Linked DNA regions of Drosophila melanogaster. The protein of the gene in region 1 interacts with the protein of each later gene in a pairwise test. Each region holds a gene or a part of one and is shown on either strand. Other genes may lie near its edges.

Region 1 (3,682 bases):
GATGTTTTGTTGCATGCCGATGTTTGTTGCTCCGAATATTAATTATACCAAAATCCAAAAATCCAAATCGAATGAGAAAAGCGAAAATGAAAAAAAATAATTTGAAAATGGTTCAATTTTCTTTGCACTTGTTTGCAGCATCTTAACAATCAATCTATCTGTGCATCTGTATCTCTAAATCGAAATCTATCATCTGGGTATATATATGTATATATCATCTATATCGATTGGATCTGAAAATCATTATTTCCCAGGTTCTGCTGCACCGAATCACATTTGTGTCCTTTGTGTTGTCGCAACTGAATTCTCTATTCTGTCCATGAATTATGTATCTTCTTCATATGCAATCTATTGGAACGTTAACCTCTCTTTGTTGATTTCTGTCTCTATACATATGTGTTGTTCGGTCCATGTTCGGTTTTGATTTCCATGATTTACTACTACTACTACCTCCTCATAAATGCCTAGCCTTAAGATATAAACTTGACTACTAGTTGCGCTAATGGAAACCTCTCCTTTGCATCTCTTTCTACGCTGGCCAATGCACAGAGTCGTGCGCCCATCTCGGCCAAATTGGTGGCCAACATGCTGTCCGTTGCTGGAGCGGATCACATCATCACCATGGATCTGCACGCCTCACAGATTCAGGTAAGTCAGCCCATCAACAACATTTGTATATTTATCTTTGATATTAGAGTGATTTCTTATCGTGCCGCGATTTGTATATCAGTCAATTAATTACGATAAAGAAAGTGTGATTTTCCTTTTGAACGACGTAACAATTTTTGTTTATTAAAGTGAGGCCAAAGAAATACTTATTTAAGGGTTTAAAATAAATTACAAAATATACAGTACAAATATATCCAATAACATCAGGTTTGAATCAAAAGAGGAGCTATAATCTCGCCGGATCCTCGGAGAACCGACAAATCCATCCGTTGGCTAAAAGGTGCCGAATTCATAGCAGGGTTCGGCGGCGTTGTCAGACCGGGATTGAAGCTCTGTGTCGTCATCGGTCCCGTTGAGGGTGTGTGGCATGGATAGAATGCTCACGGATAGTTTGGCCATTTGATGGAGTAGCACATCAATACGTTCATTCTTGAGGGCAATTGTGTTCTCCAGGTGATTGGCCCTCTCGGCAATGGAATTGATGTAGCGTGACTTCTCGGCACTCTCCCTAATAGCATTGGCATAGTGTTCGTACTCGACCACTTTCTTGGATACCTTCTTCATCTGTCCATTGACCACAACATTCACGTCCATGGTCAGCACCTGGGGTTGACTATCGATCGAGCAGGAGCGCTCAATCACTTGGGTGAGGGATCGGTTGAGAGTGCGTACCACAGAATTCTTGTTAGCCAACTTTTTAATCACCACGCTCTTTTGGGAGCTCGTTGGCGATACACTCAGACGGGGTCTTGGTCTGGGACTAGCGCACTTGGTCACCGCGATTAGTTCATGGAACAGTGATTCTATGGCTCCTGGCGCTGCTGACGCCAGCTGCTCCAGCTCCGAACGTGTCAAATTGATGCCCAATTTCTTCAGTACCTTCTGATTGAAGGTCTGCCAGCTCTGGAGTTTCAGGGCCACGCTGCTCTTGGGCGTATAGTTGTGCAGATCCACCAGACGAGGATGACTGCGCTTGACAATCTTTGCCACCGGCAAGACATCGGAGAATGAACGACGAGCTTTCAGATCCAGGATAATGCGCTGCTCCTTTAGCCACTGGTTCAGGTCATTCTGCTGTTCGTTCTCCATACTTAGCAAGGGGTGATTTGGGGTTTTCGGATTTTACCTGCTTTTTAATTTCTGTTGTAAATTTATTTTGGCAAGTCTAGCTTCCATATATGTTTCAGACAATAATGCTTGATAGACATACTCTCTGCCAATGACTGGCAGCTGTGTCAACTGGCAATGACTACTGGATGGCTAAATTAAAACTCATTCGATAAATTCTCCATTCGCAGGGCTTCTTTGATATACCAGTTGATAATCTCTATGCCGAGCCGGCGGTACTCAAGTGGATCAAGGAGAACATTCCCGAGTGGAAGAACTCGATCATTGTGTCGCCCGATGCTGGCGGTGCCAAGCGGTTAGTTGCAGTCTTTAATCCATATGCGTAATAGATTAATAATGCTATTAATATTTCACTTTAAGTGTCACCTCAATTGCCGATCGACTGAACGTGGAGTTCGCTCTGATACACAAGGAGCGCAAGAAGGCCAACGAAGTGGCCTCTATGGTACTGGTGGGTGATGTCAAGGACAAGATTGCCATTCTGGTCGATGACATGGCCGACACATGCGGCACCATTGTGCATGCCGCCGATCGCCTGGTGGAGGCGGGAGCCACCAAGGTGTATGCTATTCTGACGCATGGCATTTTCTCGGGTCCGGCGATCTCGCGGATCAATAATGCCTGTTTCGAGGCGGTAGTGGTGACCAATACCATACCGCAGGATGGACACATGCGGGACTGTCCCAAAATCCAGGTGGGTTATATCATATATATGCTTCTTTAGATGTGAATATAATTTTTATTTTTTTTTTCTCAGTGCATTGATGTCTCGATGATGTTCGCCGAGGCCGTCAGAAGGACACACAACGGCGAGAGTGTCTCGTATCTCTTCTCAAATGTTCCATACTAAACAACAAACAATCGGCAGAAAAACCAGCAAACGTTTGATAAAACAGCAACCAGAACACCGTTAGCAAGCCACAGCAAAATGAAAAGAGAAAAAAACCCACTTTAATAGCAATTTGTAATGCAATTTTCAACACAAACACAACAATTCGAAACCACATATTTTGCCATCATCATCGTTATATATTTTTTATGGATTAACTATTGTAATTAAAGTAAATGCAAACTCAGTAGATGGGAAATCGTCATTGTGTAATTATACTAAATAGGAGCATAAAAAATAACACTAAATACCGCAAAAAACAATACAAAAGTACACAAATGCAATGCCTTTCCTTTTGTATAGTAAGTTCTTTGTTTAAACAAACTTTTTGCCGTTTTCTGATTTTACAAGTTAACACGAACGATAAATTCCCAGTTGATTGGTGTAAACATTGGCCTGCTCTTAGAGAGAAATTTAGATTTGTAGATTAACACCGTAGAAGATATACACTCAAAACACACACACTCACACAAACACACCCACATGTACACCCACACACACAACAACAAAAAATTGTAATTTTACACTGTGCAACAACTTTTTGATGATTCTTTATTGTAAGCTCATAAAGAAAAAAAAAACGCAAAATACTTGCAAGTTCAAAACAAAATCTAGTAAAATTAAGTAAAACAAAAAAATACAATTGAAAAGAACATAGCAAATAGGCGTTAAAAAATAATAAACAACCAAACAAACAACAAAAATAAAACTAAAGAAAAAAATACAAAAAAAAATATTACAGAAAACTAATGCAAGAATGTGTTTTTACTGGATTTGTGGAAGGATTAGATATTGTCCTATAAAAAGGGAATATTTTCTTTTTCGTACTCGAATATAATTGTTATAGGATCTTTAGTTTACTTTTACTTTAAATGCTTAAACCAACTTTAATTAACTGAAATCCTGGTCTTATAAACCATATCCTCATCCCTTGTCCAAAGAAACTCATAATGATTCAAACTCTTGGTTAATTTATTTACACATAATTATTGGATA
Region 2 (3,930 bases), on another chromosome or scaffold:
TTGCCACGCACACACACACACTCGCAGAAGAGGGAAAAATAATGGTAAAGAAAAGTCGAGACGCACTTCAAAAGGGGGCGGCTGTCGGTGTGGGCGTGGTGACCGTTGACGTTGGCTTTTGGCTAATTTGCAATTGAAATGCCCAAATTCTGTGGGCTGGCCGCATTACGCATACGCCGTGTGGTGTCTGCGTGGCAAAGGCTCCTTAAACTTCCGCTCAGTCCATTCATCTTCCACCCCCGCATTCCGAGTCGACTGACAAATGCCACAGGGGCACGTGAAGCGGCCAGTGACCAAGGTAAATGGCACCCATACTGTCCATAGAGATTTCTTTATAAATTTCCTTTATTTTATTATTATTTTTTTTTATTTTTTGCAATTAATTACGGAATAACCTTGCAGATTCGTATACTATTTCTAGTAATTGCTGCCTTCGGAAAAATCACTTAACGCCAGGAACTTAAAATTTAGAGCAGGGAATGTAGCAAGAAAAAACAATCGACGTTATATTGCCAATGCCACGTATTTGGCGAATACTGAATTCCTAGATTTTGCCAACAGTGCCAAAGTTCAAATGACAGTTGCCATGGTCCAGCTTATAAACCGTACAAGCCAAACGGAGCTAATCAAGAATCCATCAAAACCATCGTCCATGTGCGGTACACTGCAATCGCTTCAACGAAGAATCTGGTTTATGCATCACCATCAGTCGAACAGAACGTCCATCGGTATGCCATAAATCTCGGCCAGCTGCAGTTTGGTGTAGGCAACAACGCCGCTGGGACAGTAGGCCATCGCCTCCTCCAGAGTGACCCACTTGGAGCTTGACTCACCGGCACATACCACATGCAGATAGACGATACCATCGAACATCTCATGGCTGATGATGCCCATCAGGTTGCTGGGGGTGCCGCTACTGACGTTTCCGGCGGTGTTGCCACTACCGTTACCATCACCGTTACCGTTACCGTTTCCGCTTCCGCTTCCGTTTCCGCCAATGATGTTGCCGCTCTGGCTCCCAGCGCTGCTCATTCCATCGCCGTTGCCACCGTCGCTGCCGCCACCGCTGCCGCCACCCACGCTGCTACCGCTGGCATTGGCGTTCGAAGAGGTGGACGGATTCAGATTGATGACCATCCTGGAAGGGCAGCGGTTCGGGATATCTATGAGGCAAATATCGAATGCAGCCAATTAACTGAGTGTATTTATAATTATTTGGATCTAGTAAGCCGAAAAGTATTTCTTATATATATTTAACAACAATACTTATATTATAAGTGATAATTAACTCACCTGAATATAAAACTATCAAAAGTGGAAAAGAAATCGGATTGGAAGCAGTTATCAAAGTGGCTCAATACTGAAGCTTCGTTGCTGGTTGCTACCTTTGGCCTTCTGGACGGGATGGTCCGTGGTTGGATTCTCGGTTAGTCCTTCGGAAACCGTAAACTTTGAACTTTGAACCTACGAATTTTGTACTTTGCTCGGTGCGATCCAATGAGACTCTGGTGCAGTGATGTGCTGCTTAGGGATCTGTTATACACTTCTCGACGTTCAAGTCGCACGCGATTCTAGTGCAACTCTCTAATTAGCTAGATACAATACCAAGTTATGATTTTTGTTTCGCTGTTTGATTCTTTTTTTTTTCGATTTTCCTCTATTTTTTTTCACTTTTGTTTAAACGGTGTGTGTGTATTTTGTGTCGATTGTGTGTGTTGACTACCTAGATGATTTTAACTTATGAAATGAGCCATGACATTAATCTGGCATTCTTTTCAAAGCCAGCTGGTACATTTTGTTTCGACGATGAAATGAGAGACACAAATATCGCGAATATTCAAGATTTTGGTAAATTAATAATTCTTATGGCTATTTCATTAATTCATGACACTGCACATTCTAAGTTAGACTTTAAAGTAAGTGCAGTAAGTGTACTATTTAAGTGCAAAAAGGCAAACAAAGTTTTCAAGGATTTTTTTTTTTAGTGTTTTCCTCAGAAAATCCCCATACCATTCACAATTTTTTGACATCGCCCGGCAACACGGGTGTTTATGAATGTGCCATATAATGTTTTGCTTCTGCCAGCAGCACCAAATGAACTGAACAAATAAAACTTTCACGGCAAAGTTGTTGACACGGCAGCCTCCTCCTCTTCCGATTTGCAGCTGCAATTCCTCACCTTCATGTTCACGCTTAGCTCTTTATTTACGATTGCAGGTGCAATGCGGGAAAAGTGCAGGAAAAGTATGGGAAAAGTGTGGGAAAAGTGTGGGAAAAGTGCGGGTGTGGGCGAGAGGAAAAGCAAAGTAAAAGCACCAGAGCTGAGTTTAAGTCGCGGGAGCAGGGGTCCCAAAGCAATTAAATCGCATTCGCCGTGTGGAAAGCAAATAGGATTCCGGGTGGGGCTTTGAATGTGGAGTCCGGACAGAGACAAACAATCAAACGGAAATTAATTGCGGTATGTGTGAAAAGTGAAAGCCAAAAGCTGTTCGGTAAATGATTGTCGAGCAGCGAGTTTTACCCCGGTTTCCCCACGACGACTTTAATTCTTAAACCCTGATTGATAGCTAACCTCGTCCTGGAGCAATGACTTCTGCTCTCCAGCTCTTCAGAATCGAAATGAAACCAAGATAGTATGCTGACATCCGAAAAGAAGTAAATTTTTACCACTGCATAGCCACACAAAGCGAAAACTTTTACACAGCAACCATGTAATAAAATAAGTCTTCAGAATTCGATGGGTAATCTTTTCAGCTGCTTTTTGGTCATTCAATATATGCTTTTCGTATTTAGAGGCATTTTGCTTACTCATTGAACTTATGTATGTGAAACACAGCAATTTTCCACACTTGTGTCATGGCATTGCCAAAAAGCGATAAGGGCGAAGGGTCGAAGTTTAATTAATACACCATTACGTGCTGTTTTTGGCCAACAATGGGTGGGTAAGCTTACCATTCGTTTTGAGATGCGTTGCAGCCCAATTTTGTCAACGTGGCCATAGCTGTATCCACATCCGGATCCGGTTCACAATGAGACGACGACTCATTGGACCGGCAGTGAGTTATATCAAAGACACTAGAATAACAAGATGCGTAACGGCCATACATTGGTTTGGCACTATGCAGCCACTTTTTTGGTGACGGCCAAAATTACTCTCTTTCCGCTCACTCCCGCTGAGAGCGTAAGAAACCTAAAAATATAATTTGCTTGCTTGTGTGAGTAAAAACAAGAGACGAGAACGCGTATAAGTGTGCGTGTTGTGCTAGAAGACGATTTTCGGGCCGAAATCAATTCTGATCGAAGAAACGAATTTACATGGTACATATTAGGGTAGTTTTTGCCAATTTCCTAGCAATATGATAAAATAAAAAAATTTTTTAAAATTCGCGCCCTGACTATTATAATTTTAAAGCTTTTTAAATTTGTTTGTTAAAATTGCCGCTCGAATTAGCTACCGTTTACACATTTATATTTATGTTTAATTCTAATTTTTCTCTCATCTGACAATTTTTTAAAAGCTAAATATTTTTTTTGAAACACTTTTAATGTTAATGTTACATCATATTAAGTCAAATGATTTAATAAATATACTAAATAATTAAATATGCAATTAAATGAAATTGCAAAAGTAATATCAAAGACAATAGAATTATTCTAGTGTCTTTGCTTTGTTCATATCTTGAGGCACGAAGTGCGGACACAAGCACTCAACAATCATTACCTTATTAATTTTTCACACGCCGCAAGATGAATACTCTAATGACAAATATTCTTATATAAAGTCATTTTTGAAATTTATTTTTGTGATAATATGTACATAGATTTGAGTATTTCTAATCTATTTTCAAATAATAATAACGTTAAGGCAATGCAAAACAAGAATTTTTCGCATGGTGCCAATTGATCAAAAATAATATAGATTTAAAGCCA

Evidence for each region.
Region 2: the proteins of CG16719 (region 1) and CG9106 interact in a two-hybrid assay, tested with the Drosophila melanogaster proteins (2 studies listed by BioGRID).

The regions. Positions count from the first base shown.
Region 1 is NT_037436.4:9,683,331-9,687,012, reverse strand, and holds CG16719 (uncharacterized protein), read right to left. Parts: upstream 1,843-3,682; 5' UTR 1,759-1,842; coding exon 943-1,758; 3' UTR 763-942; downstream 1-762. Other genes in the region: Prps (phosphoribosyl pyrophosphate synthetase), read left to right, coding at 550-648, 1,968-2,092, 2,158-2,491, 2,555-2,647.
Region 2 is NC_004354.4:15,270,694-15,274,623, forward strand, and holds CG9106 (uncharacterized protein), read right to left. Parts: upstream 1,713-3,930; 5' UTR 1,294-1,712; intron 1,222-1,293; 5' UTR 1,138-1,221; coding exon 706-1,137; 3' UTR 343-705; downstream 1-342.